Arabidopsis thaliana: one gene and its partner. The protein of the gene in region 1 purifies or fractionates together with the protein of each later gene. This does not show direct contact. Each region holds a gene or a part of one and is shown in the gene's direction. Other genes may lie near its edges.

The links. Proteins that work in one complex are often made in the same cells at the same time.
Region 2: the proteins of BSK3 (region 1) and AT5G45510 purify together in Arabidopsis thaliana (affinity purification with mass spectrometry, with the first as the bait; one study listed by BioGRID). This does not show direct contact.

Annotation. Positions count from the first base shown.
Region 1 is NC_003075.7:287,793-294,010, forward strand, and holds BSK3 (BR-signaling kinase 3), read left to right. Parts: upstream 1-1,986; 5' UTR 1,987-2,811; exon of another isoform or gene 2,812-2,902; 5' UTR 2,903-3,014; coding exon 3,015-3,093; intron 3,094-3,173; coding exon 3,174-3,394; intron 3,395-3,477; coding exon 3,478-3,613; intron 3,614-3,711; coding exon 3,712-3,845; intron 3,846-3,950; coding exon 3,951-4,056; intron 4,057-4,133; coding exon 4,134-4,219; intron 4,220-4,315; coding exon 4,316-4,504; intron 4,505-4,594; coding exon 4,595-4,747; intron 4,748-4,858; coding exon 4,859-4,972; intron 4,973-5,052; coding exon 5,053-5,304; 3' UTR 5,305-5,700; downstream 5,701-6,218. Other genes in the region: AT4G00700 (C2 calcium/lipid-binding plant phosphoribosyltransferase family protein), read left to right, coding at 1-1,196, 1,286-1,577. UniProt on the Arabidopsis thaliana protein: Probable serine/threonine kinase that acts as a positive regulator of brassinosteroid (BR) signaling downstream of the receptor kinase BRI1. Mediates signal transduction from BRI1 by functioning as substrate of BRI1.
Region 2 is NC_003076.8:18,442,827-18,449,980, forward strand, and holds AT5G45510 (Leucine-rich repeat (LRR) family protein), read left to right. Parts: upstream 1-1,780; 5' UTR 1,781-1,971; coding exon 1,972-2,020; intron 2,021-2,360; coding exon 2,361-5,929; intron 5,930-6,111; coding exon of another isoform or gene 6,112-6,126; exon of another isoform or gene 6,127-6,194; coding exon 6,195-6,245; 3' UTR 6,246-6,620; downstream 6,621-7,154. Other genes in the region: AT5G45520 (Leucine-rich repeat (LRR) family protein), read right to left, coding at 6,683-7,154. UniProt on the Arabidopsis thaliana protein: Probable disease resistance protein.

The DNA of each region.
Region 1 (6,218 bases):
GTAGGAAAAGCTGTGATTTTGATGAATGACATAGAGAAACGTATAGATGATAAACCTTTTCATGACCGATGGGTTCATCTTGAAGACTCCATCTCAGACGCTATGGATGTTGATAAAGCCAAGAAAGTGAAGTTCGCTACTAGGCTCCGGTATAAGGCGGTTCTCGATGGAGGCTACCACGTTTTTGATGAGTCCATGTATAACAGCAGTGATCTCAGACCTTCGTCGAGAAAGCTCTGGAAACCAGCAATTGGTGTCTTGGAGCTCGGGATACTTAACGCAAATGTGTTCCATTCGATGAAAACTCGGGAAGGGAAAGGTACTTCGGACACGTACGTTGTTGCCAAATACGGTCACAAATGGGTTCGGTCACGAACTGTGATCAACAGCATGAATCCAAAGTACAATGAGCAATACACATGGGAGGTTTTTGATCCTGCAACGGTTTTAACCATCTGCGTCTTTGACAACGCTCATTTCGCAGCAGGAGATGGCGGAAACAAGAGAGATCAGCCGATTGGGAAAGTCCGCATTAGACTCTCGACTCTTCAGACGGGCCGTGTGTACACGCATGCTTACCCTTTACTTGTTCTACAACCTACTGGTCTTAAGAAAAGAGGAGAGCTTCACTTAGCGGTGAGATTCACCTGCACATCGGTCTCCAGTATGCTGATGAAATACACAAAACCTCTCCTGCCTAAAATGCATTACATACTACCCTTATCCACAAACCAACAGGAAGCTCTTAAGATGCAGGCTATCAACATAATTATTGTTCGTTTAGGCCGGTCCGAGCCACCGCTGAGACGGGAAGTGGTTGACTATTTGACAGATTGGAAAAGTCAGCTGTTCAGCATGAGGAGAAGCAAAGCCAACTTCAATAGGTTCACGACAGTGTTCTCCGGTGCGCTGTCTGTTTGGAAATGGATGGAACAAGTGTGCACATGGAAGACTCCCGTGACGACGGCTCTGGTGCACGTGCTCTACACTATGCTTGTGACGTTCCCGGAGATGATTTTGCCGACTGTGTTTCTGTATATGGCTGTGATTGGGATGTGGAATTACAGGTTTAAGCCTAGATTTCCTCCTCATATGGACGCCAAACTATCTTATGCAGACAATGTAAATTCTGATGAGCTTGACGAAGAGTTTGATACCTTCCCGACCGTAAGGGCTCCGGACATTGTGAAAATGAGGTAACAAAAATCAAGAATGATCAAAGAAAATCGAAAACGAAGAAAGACTTGGTCATTGGTTGATAGTTTTCCTCCCTCATATTTTTCAGGTACGACCGGCTGAGATCTGTGGCCGGGAAGGTACAGTCGGTGGCTGGAGACATAGCCGCACAAGGAGAGCGAGTGCAAGCGTTGCTGAGCTGGCGTGATCCACGCGCCACCGCAATATTCGTGACGTTCTGTTTCATTATTGCCATGGCTCTCTACATTACCCCTTTTAAACTTGTCGCTCTGTTATCCGGTTACTACTTCATGCGACATCCAAAGCTCCGACACCGCATTCCCTCCGCTCCCGTCAACTTTTTCCGGCGACTTCCAGCCATGACCGACTCTATGCTGTGAATCTTCTTCTGGATAGAGTAATCAACAAACATGCCATGTATATAACTCTCTTCTTTGAATCTGTATCTATCTATCGATATGCATCTATATGTGTTGACAATCATGCGTTCGTGAACTCGTTCTCCGAATTAACAATGGTGATCGCAAACAAACTCTGATGATCAAATCAAATAAATTGCTTCCACACTCGCAATGTTGAAACAGAGAATCTAAAAGCTCAAAACAGAGTCGGTTAGATCCTAACAAACTCTTTAAACCTTCTCCAATTCGCAACCAAAGCTAAACCATCGCTTCCACAAAACTAATTGGTCGATAACCAGCCTAAACCCGGTTTGATTTAAGCTGAACCAGATCCGTGTGATCAATATATAAAAAGCCCATGGGCCTTGAACAAAACAACGTCACATCGGTGATTAACACTGTTTTTAGTGCTTAATTAGTTCCCTCCCTGATTACAAAAGTCCGTTAGTGATTACGGCATGAAGAGACAACGGGAAAGAGGAAGAAGCATATCTCTCTCTCTGTCTTGTTCTATGAACGAGACCACTTGCTTTAACAGGCGGTGCTAATTATTTTCCAGAAAATAAAAAACCCCAAAAATCTGTACGACAAACAATTTATTAATCAACTCTTTTTTTTTCTTTCTATAAGGTTAATGGCCAGATTCTTTCTTCTCTCACACCCATTAAAATATTTCATCAACTTGTCGGTAAAATTAATTCTTGGCTTATTCTATCTTTCTTTCTCTGTCTTCTTCTTTCAATTTTTCAATAACAATAATACAGATGTGTATACATTAGATACACGTATACTAGTACTAAACTTCACTGTGTGATCTGATCTAGAGTTTTTATACTATCAGAATAAATAATAGTCGACAATTTGGGATTTGTTTATGGTTTACTTCACATGAATCACATACGTTCATGTCGATTCCTTTGAGATACTGTCTCGATTTCGTTTTTTTCTCTTGTTTAATTTAAAATTATTGTAAAGCACGTGGATTTGCTTGTCTTGGTTTTGTTTTCTCCTTCGACCTCTTTGATGAAATCGAGGAACCTACAATTTCTTCGTCGATCCAAATGGTAGCTTAGTGGTGGTGATAATAGGTTTCTCCTCTTGATTGGCTCCAGCTTTAGGTTTTTTTTTTTATCTTTGTTTCTGCTTCGATTCCCAAAATTTACCCTTTCGATTTTGAGTCTAACTAGTCGAGTTGACTCAGTAGAGTCGAAAGGTACGACCTTTTTTCTCTACTTCACTGATTTTGAAACTATTGAAGATTTGATTTGGTAAGATCATTCATTGGCTGTATAATTTTATTGCAGCTTCTGGGTTTACGAAGAGACATCTCCTAATTGAAACAAAACCTTTCCTTTCCATTGGGCTGAGAAAAAAGCAAGAGTCTTTGAATATTTTTTGGAGCGTGGTTTTATTTAGATGGGAGGTCAATGCTCTAGCCTGAGTTGTTGCAGGAACACTTCACACAAGACAGCTGTTCTTGAAGCTCCTGATGTTGGTTAGTTTCTTTAAGACAATGAATTAGTGTTTTTTCTACTTGGATCTAAGAAGCTATAAGACATTGTCTGATTGATGCAGATAATGGAGAGAGTAGTGAGATCACTGATGTTCCTAATTTCCGGGAGTATACTTTAGAACAGCTTAAGGCAGCTACTTCTGGTTTTGCCGTGGAGTATATTGTATCTGAACATGGAGAAAAGGCTCCAAATGTTGTCTATAAAGGGAAATTGGAGAACCAAAAGAAGATTGCTGTCAAGCGTTTTACTAGAATGGCCTGGCCTGATTCACGACAGTTCTTGGTATGTTCTTATCTTTGGAAATTGTAGTTTGTTTCATCTCTTTTTATTTTGATGTTGAGAATGTGTTCTTCTTCCTTGTGCAGGAGGAAGCGAGGTCGGTTGGTCAGCTACGGAGTGAGAGAATGGCCAATTTACTCGGATGTTGCTGCGAAGGTGACGAGAGGTTACTTGTAGCAGAGTTTATGCCTAATGAAACACTAGCCAAACACCTTTTTCACTGTGAGAATCATTTTTCCTATATATAGCCTTTCATTTAATAATCTTGCCATGCTAGTCTTGGAAGTTATGGTGTCTAAGTGTACTTTTTATGCTACTAGGGGAAACTCAACCTATGAAATGGACTATGAGGCTACGAGTTGTTTTATATCTAGCACAAGCTCTTGAATACTGCACCAGCAAAGGCCGTACTCTTTACCACGACCTCAATGCTTACCGGGTTTTGTTTGATGAGGTATTTATTAGTTATATATAAGCAGTTTTTCCTCTTTCTTCGAAACCTGTCTATGTTTCTATGCTATTCCTTCATTCTCTGACGCCTTAAGGGGCTTTTAATAAGGAATGCAATCCAAGACTATCTACTTTTGGCTTGATGAAGAATAGTCGGGATGGAAAAAGTTACAGCACTAATCTTGCTTTCACCCCTCCTGAATATCTACGAACTGGTACATCATTGGTTTTTTCTCCAAGATTCATATGGTTGAGATTAAGTTGCACGTTCTGTTTGTTATTGTATTTACAGGGAGAATTACTCCAGAGAGTGTAATATACAGCTTTGGCACTCTTCTGCTTGATCTTCTCAGCGGAAAACATATACCTCCTAGCCATGTAAGTATTTTAGCCATAATAAGTTTGTTTTCCATACGAGATTGCAGCTTTTACTTGAAAAGGTGAAGGTTGATTCTTTCAATCTGTTTTATACAGGCCCTTGATCTGATTAGAGACAGAAATCTCCAGACGCTAACTGATTCTTGCCTAGATGGGCAGTTTTCTGATAGTGATGGTACAGAGCTAGTACGCCTAGCTTCTCGTTGTCTTCAGTATGAAGCTCGTGAGCGGCCAAACACCAAATCTTTAGTGACTGCCTTGACACCTCTTCAGAAGGAGACAGAGGTTTCTATTGATTTCCGAGCCATTAGAATAACTTGGACCAAGTTTCTTTTTGTTAACTCGAGATAATTTTCCTTGTATTGTAAATTGCAGGTCCTGTCTCATGTTCTAATGGGTCTACCTCACAGTGGTTCAGTCTCTCCTCTGTCCCCTCTTGGTGAGGCTTGTTCAAGAAGGGACCTGACCGCTATGCTTGAGATCCTGGAGAAACTTGGATACAAAGACGACGAGGGTGTCACCAATGAGGTACCTTTTCAGAATTATGTTGGAAGAATCAGTGGTTTGGCTCTGTTAATCAGTGAATAGTTTCTTTCTTGGTTCTTCATGGTGTTGCGTTACTTTGGTTTGGCAATGCAGCTCTCGTTTCATATGTGGACAGACCAGATGCAAGAGTCTTTGAACTCGAAGAAGAAGGGTGATGTGGCTTTCAGGCAAAAAGACTTTAGAGAGGCCATCGAGTGTTACACACAGGTCGAGTTTTGTTTTGTACATAAAATGAAGTAGACAAACACATAGCATTAGCCTGATTATCTTTCTTGAAACTTTGACAGTTTATTGATGGAGGAATGATCTCTCCAACAGTGTGTGCTCGGCGTAGTCTGTGTTACCTAATGAGTGACATGCCGAAAGAAGCTTTAGATGATGCAATTCAGGCTCAAGTGATCTCTCCCGTGTGGCATGTCGCATCATATCTGCAGTCTGCTTCCCTTGGTATCCTGGGAATGGAGAAGGAATCTCAAATCGCACTGAAAGAGGGCTCGAACCTTGAAGCAAAGATGAATGGAGTTCCCCGAGTGAAGTAAGATATATAGCATTTAAGATTTTTCTTGTTGGGAAAGATGAAAGAACATCTTACCAAGTAAAAGGGGTATGAATCTTTTGAGCACAATGATGGGAAAACACTCAAGAGCAATGCAAAACTATAGACCCTCTTCTTCTGGTTGTATGAGGTGTTTTGCCCTTCTTGTGCCTCTTTTTATGGGCATTGAATTGAAGGAGTCATTTCCTTTATTAGCTTTGAAATCCATTTCCTGAAACTTTATTGTACTAAAAAACCCATTATTGCAGAAACCAAAAGAGGGTTTTGTTTCTTTTGATCTATAGGTCACACAGACTAAACATGTATGAACTCTTGTCTTTTGACTAAAGAGATATTCGACAGTGAAAGGGGTTTTTGTGGTTAAATTCCAATAGTTGAGTAAATTATTCAAAATTTTAACCAAACACAAATTCGTGTCAAAGTTACAGGACTTTCGACTCCTACAGTATAGTTTAATTACTCGTCCGATTGTGAAGTTAGTTAACTCTTCATTCATCTTCCTCGCTTTTCAACTTTAATTAAACAACATGTGCATTTCAGTTAAATAGCTTACCTGGAATCTGTGCCAGTCCTGAGATACAATAGAAAAATGTCGTTAAGAGTTTATTTGTTCACCCAAAAACCATCTTAGAGAGGAACATGAAACGGAATCTTAGCTTGCAATATTAGGGCAAGGGAAAATGATCTTGATGGATTACAAACACATAAAAATGATACACCAAACATATAAGGGGGGTCAGATTTGTGGAAAAAAAAACAAAAAAATGAAAGTGAAGGTGAAAATAACAAGGATAGCAAATTGAGAGAAAAGCCAGTCAGAAGAAGAAGAAGAAGCTTCATGACCCCAGTTATTTCACACCTCATCAGGTCCCGGCGTACAGATTTCCAATCTCTCCT
Region 2 (7,154 bases), on another chromosome or scaffold:
CACTAATTATCCTTAACAAACTTCTTAATGTGTATATTAATTAAGTTGAGCCATATATTTCGATAATATTGGGCCACCATATTGGGCCATACATATTTGAATTCGGACCGTAACTTTCGCTATACATCTATAATCTATTTTGATTAACAATATATTTTAATAAATGATTTTTACAATAAAGAATAGTAATAGTTTGAAGTTCGTTCTTATATAGTTTCATAAACTTATTAAAAAAATAAATTAATAATATTAGTACTAATCCAAAATATAATTTTAAACAAAACAAAAACAGTGACAAATAAAAGAAAACAAAAACACCAATCCAAGCTAAATGGAGACTGTCTAGATTCTTTTGATTATTTTTCTAACTCATTATAATTTTTATTTCCTTCACATTATTTCAAAAATATTTAGATGTTTTTGCATAAAAATTTGAGCTTACAAGCAAAAAGAAAGTGTTGTAAATAAAATTTCATGGGGAATTGTCCAAAATCCTTGATTCACCGTGATTCACATTGCCTTCCAAAATCTCTAACTCCACTCTAAGATTCGATTTCTCCTTCCTAATCTCATTAAGCGTCAAATTAGGCCGTGTATCATTTGTCAACCAAAGCCTAGAACTTTAACACAACTTCTCCTCATCTCTAACCTAGCTTTCCATCCGATCACATTTTCTCATTCTGATTCTCGCATCAGTTTTATTTCAAAAGATAAATCATTTTTTTTTTTACCAAAAAACGTTATAAATCGTACTCTACTGACAAGTAAGTAGTGTTCAAACAATAGCTGAAGGAGTGGATCCGCTACTAGAAATTTGTAGGATCATAGCTTGGGTTTTCCCAAGTGGGTTAATCTATAAATGTGATCCGAACAAAACGCTCAAAGTAAAATACCATGTGTGTTTATTCATAGAGAAAAAAAAAAAAATTGATAAGAAATAGGGTATCAGCGAGGACAGTTTACAGTGTTCTCAGTTTATGTTATCTTAAATCATGAACGTATCTGCATAAATATATGTTAACTCAATACATGTCAGAAACGATGATGTCCAACTTGATCATGCACTCGTTCACATTGCCCCACTAAAACTTAATCCAATTTTATCATATAATTTAAGTTTTTGTTGTTGCAAGTTTATATATAATTTTATAAAAAGTCAAAAATGTAAATCAAACTCATGAAGTTATATTATTTTTTATTTTATTTTGAAATTGAAGTTATATTAATTTACAATATAACTTGTTGACACTATTGCTAAGTTTATTAAATTATTATTTTAAATTTTTAAAATGAAGCATTTACATAAGGCCGGCTCAACATTACTAATTTACTATGGTCTCTAGGATTTTTTTTTTGAGCCCTAATTATTATTTTTAATTGTTTTTGTTATGAAAACTATTTTTTTGTGTAATTTGACAACAAATAATTGTTAAAAAAACAAAAAAATACAGATAAATTCTTCTAAATTCTTTTGAACATTTTTCAATATCATATATAAAATTTTTTAAAATATTTTTGAATATTAAAATAGTATGAAACTTCGATATACACGCTTATAATGAATAGTCCAATTGTCATTTTAAGAATTAGACACTTTAATATGTGACTGTAAAAACTCTTTAAATATGTATATTATTGGTTAGATTTAATTACATGAGTTTGATATATATATATATATATATTTGCAAATTGAAAATAAATTTAAAGAAAATTGTTATTTAGAATTTTAATTTCTTACGAGAAAAATCCTATAATTTAATTTTAGCGCCTGGCTCACCCCGTCTGGCTAGGAAAAGAAATATAAATACGCATGTGATTATTAGAAGAAATGATGTTAAAAGAGAGAGAAAGATACGAGAGAAAATGGAGAGAAAGTGAGAGAGAGAGAGAGAGATAAAGCAGAGGTTGACTTCGCTTTGCTGAGAAGGCAAAGAGCTCGAAAGAGAGAAGACTAACTCTCATCAGCGACGAATGTCTGATCCGTTGAAGATGGCGGCCGAGACGGAGGAGATTAAACCAGGTTACTATTCTCTCTGTCCCTCTCTCTTTCTCTGCTTTCGATCTATGAATATACTGAAATTTGTTAGAATATCTTGTAAACCAATATCTTTTTATGTATCTCGAATTGATCTAAGAACTTGTTGTGTCTTTTTTTTCCTTTTGGGTCAAAAACTAATCATAAGGTTGTCTAGAGAGATGATTCAAGAACAAGAAATTATCTCCTCTTTACTTTGAAAACGAATTTTATATACTTATTAGTGAAGGAATAACGAAAAATGTGAATTTCTCAGGCTGATGATATATAGAACCAATTTGGTTGACTTTTTTGACTGAATTTGTTTTTTTTTGTTGGGATCAAGTTCCAGCAGCAATGGGAGAAAAGAAGGATGTGGTGTTGTGTAAGAAGATAGTGGAAACTCTGGGAGGAGGTGGTGATCAAAGAGTATTGCTGGTTGGCGAAGCTGGGATCGGGAAGACAAGGATGGCACAAATGGTTGACAAAGAAGCCTCTAAGGATGTTCTTTGCTACCAGACTCTCTGGTTGCATCTCAACAGGAAGTTTAAAGTCAACGACAACTATATCAAGGAGAAGAAGTTTGAAGACGAATGGTCTCTTTATGAGAACATAGCTTCACAGCTATCTTTATACTCTGATTTTGAAGAGACTGAAGTCGGTGAAAGAGATGAAGATGAGGAAGAGGAGAAGAAGGTTGAAGATTTGCTCAAGGATTTGAAGCCCAAGATTGAGAAGTATCTCTTGGAAAAGAAGGAAGCCGTCGTGAAAAAATTGGAGGATGACAAGAAGAAGAAGGAGAAGGAAGCCGCAGAGAAACTGGAGGCTGAGAAAAAACTGGTGGATCCGGCTGCGAAAAAAGCAAAAGACCATGGAAACAAGAATCCAACCGATGCCGCAAAGGAGAAAACGACTCAAGTAGTAGCCGGAGGAGAGGATAAAGCTCAGACATCATCTGAAAGAAAGCCGTATCTTCTTTTGATTCTTGACGATGAAGGAATGACCAGTGAGTACGAGGTGATGGTGCATTTAGGCCTTGAGGATTTTCTGAAAGATCACACACCTCGAAAAATCCTTATTACAAGAAGACAAGAAACTGAGGAGGCTACAAAATCTGGTGAGCATGCTGAGGGGGAGGCAAATGATTCGCAATCCGGGGAAAAGAAAGAGGACACAGATGGTGAAGACGAAATTAGATCAGCTGATAAGGAGGAACCTGAGTCTCAAGCCCGGGTCAAAACAGAGGAGAAACATGAAAAAGTTGTACCTCCTACCATAGATGACTTATGGGGGAGCACAAACACTTATGGTGAAATTACGTTCCAGACCACAAATGAGTCACAAGATTTACTTGAATCATTCAACCTAAAGGAGGCAGAGGCTTTATTTACTTCGTCCATGTTTTTCAAGGATATGCCAAATTTTTTCTTTGACCCCGTTCCTGGGACTGATGAGAAACTGTTAAACCACATGCTGAAAAAGAGCAAGAGTTTGCCAGCTGCAATCAACGTGCTCGCCAAGTCCCTAGAGTACACTGTCAAGAGCAAGTCCTATAAGCTTAATAAGGACGAAGAAGAGAGGTTACTAAAAGAAAAGATAGAAATGGTTCTCTCGGCTGAGCGGGGTAATCCATCCGACCAGGAATCTAGTTCTGAGAGCCCTAAGAAAGCAAGTGGAGAAAATCCAATCCTGCTTCTTGCATACAAGCTGTTCAAAACCGATGGTCCATTGAAGGATACAATATTGGATTGTTTTTGGCATAGCTTGGACTTCTTTGAGCATTGTGGCTGTGTTTACTACCGTGACCTGATCACACAATGGATACTTGAAGGCTACTTTGATCCTGTTAGGTCTGTCGAAAAGGCGTACCAGGATGGTCATTCTATCTTCATGGAGCTTATAGACCGCGGAATGCTGAAGATACAAGAAAACAATGTGGTAGTACCAGAGATGGCGATGAGAAATGTAATTGATCCTCGACGTGGTGGGCATTTAGGGAAATCTCGGCTTGGATTTTCTAGAGTCTATGGTGGTAACAAGAGAAAAGGAATAGGGAAAATCACCCAACTTGATGATATGATTAAAACAGTGCAAGCAAAGAAAGGAGACAAGATTACCACGATTCTGGTTAGTGGAGATCGTCTGCGTCGCGTAACTCCTAAAAAGTTCTTCAAGAATCTGAAAGAGCTTGAAGTACTTGGCCTTTTTGAGCCCACAGTAAAACCATTTGTCCCGTCTTTTTCAGATCAGCTCAAACTCCTCCGGGTTCTTATAATCAGGGACTGTGATCTCCTGAAAAGCATTGAAGAGCTTAAGGCTCTTACAAAGCTAAATACTCTTGAAGTTTCTGGTGCTAGCTCCCTGAGCAAAATATCTGAAAAATTCTTTGAGTCATTTCCTGAACTCCGAAGTCTTCACCTCTCTGGGCTTAAGATCGAGTCTTCCCCTCCCAGTATTTCTGGCCTGAAGGAACTTCACTGTCTCATCATCAAAGACTGCCCTTTATTGCAAGATCTGCCAAACATACAAGAACTAGTAAATCTTGAGGTTGTTGATGTTTCTGGTGCTAGTGGGCTTCGAACTTGTTTCGACAACGCAGATGGTGCCAAGAAAAACAAGAGCAAAAACAAAAACTTTTATCTTCTTACAAAACTTCAGCATCTTGACTTCTCGGGGAGCCAAATAGAGCGACTGCCAATATTCCAGGATTCTGCGGTGGCCGCCAAGCTTCACTCCTTGACTCGGCTCTTGTTGCGCAACTGTAGCAAATTGAGAAGGTTGCCTAGTTTGAAGCCCTTGTCAGGACTTCAAATTCTTGATCTTTCTGGCACTACGAGCTTAGTGGAAATGCTTGAAGTGTGCTTCGAGGATAAGCTTGAACTCAAAACTCTTAATCTCTCGGGAACTAATCTTAGCGAGTTGGCTACCACCATCGAGGACCTGTCCAGTCTCAACGAACTCCTCCTACGTGATTGCATCAACCTAGATGCCATCCCAAACATCGAGAAACTAGAAAATCTCGAAGTCATTGATGTTTCCGGCAGTGCCAAGCTGGCAAAGATTGAGGGATCATTTGAGAAAATGTTTTACCTACGTGTAGTGGATCTGTCTGGAACCCAAGTGGAGACACCAGAGTTGCCAGCGGATACCAAAATCCATTGTCTGAAGCGTTTTACTCGGGCAGATGGAAAATGTTTTGAACGTGACACATGGAGAGAAATAAAGGAAGACATTGAACGTGATAGGTCTGAGAATGCCAGCTCCTCTGATGCAGTTGTTATATCTCAAGAAATCACAGAAAAGAAGCCTGTAGAAATAAGAGAGGTTGAATCGAATGCACCTCGCGCCAGTGATTGTACCGAGAAAGTAGATGTCAACAAGGAACGTCTTCTTAAAGTCCCCATAGATAGGGCTCTATATCAGAAGGCACTAACATCACTTGTTGATTCCAAAATTCCACAAGAAGAAGTCTTGGAGATCAATGAAACTAATAAGCTAGATGAGGAAGCACTAGCTAGTGCTGAGTTTGTGTCTTTTGTGGACTGTACTCCTGAAAGGGTCAAATCTATCTTTGAGAAGGCCAAATTGGTGAAGGGTTGCTGGCTAAGGATGTGCTTTGACATAAAAGACCCTTTCGATGGTGTGGATGAGGAGAACTTGAAATCACTGGAGACTTTATCGATTACAAACCTTCTCTCATTGGAGACTATAAGCTTTATTGCTAAGTTAGAGAATCTGAAGAACCTAAGCTTAGATTGCTGCCCGAAAATCAAAACGATTTTCCCGGAGATGCCTGCCAGCCTACCAGTCCTGAATTTAAAGCATTGTGAGAACCTGGAGAAAGTTGTTGTAGGAGTTGAAGTGTCAACTCACACTAATCTGGATTTGAAAGTGGAGAATTGTCCAAAATTCGGGGTAAGTTGCAACTTTCTACTCTACCACCTCTCCTGTGAACATTTGTCATTTAGGACCATTATTGTAGCTATCTTTTACATGTCAAACAGTCTAGCACACTTCAGAACTCATCAGAAGAGGAACACTTCCACATCCAAAATTGTTAAAAATTTAGTTGCATCATATTTTTCTCTGTTTTGCAGGTCGTATGTGCTTGAGTCGTCTTGCAACATATCTTGTCTCTTTTCAGCTTCATCTTAGCATTTTACACTGCGTGTATTTGCAGGACTACGTAATGGTTGACCACAGTGATGTACCTCCACCACATGAATGCTGATCATAAAAGAGGCTGGAGCAAGATCTACTTACACAGTACTAAACATCTGGATCGTTGCCTCTTTAATCATTTTCATACTTTTTTCCTACGTGTGCCTGAAGCTTTGCGTGTTGAATAACGACCGGCATTGAAACATTATCTTGCGGGTTTTATTTTTACTGTTTCATGTTTCTGTTTCTGTTTTAAGATATTTTCTGCTGTAAAATCCCAGGCATAGTGTTCTGTTCTTGTCTGGGTGAATAAGACCATTGTTTTGATTGTTTTTCTTTTCTCAAATATTATTTGAAATTTCTCTGTTTGAAAGATCTTATAAGACAGTTTAAGGCTTTACGATAAATATTTAATTTATACAAGCAGGAATGTGTGTATCTTGTTATTCAGAGTGTAGAGACCATACATAATTTCTAAAGAAGTTACAAAGGCTTTTGCGGTTATCTTCACATATTTGGTGACGACGTCCAGACTCCATTACCATCTGTGGGACAGAATGCGATTTTGGGGCATTTATATTTCTCCAACAGTGTCATTTTTGGAAACAGAGTTTGCAAATCTCTCCACTCAACCTTGAATTCATGCAGATACTTCAAACGCAAGATCTCAACGTCCCATTTATCTTCTGTGATTCGACTCTCATCACCGATTCGGCTAAGTTTTCCTCCTTTGATGGAGAGCTTTTTAAGATTTTTCAGATCTTTGGGATTTAACCAACTCGGAGGTTTTGTTTCAGGGAAACATTCTAGCTCCAACTTCTTCAAATTAGAAGGAAGTGTATAGGTGTCATCTACTACTGGATCTTCTTGCCATCCTATTCCCCATTTCTTGGTTTGGTTTCCCCTTCCCGTTAACCATTTTGCTTTGCTTGACTTTGATTTCCTGGATGGTGATTGTGTTTCATGAATATCTTCCGCC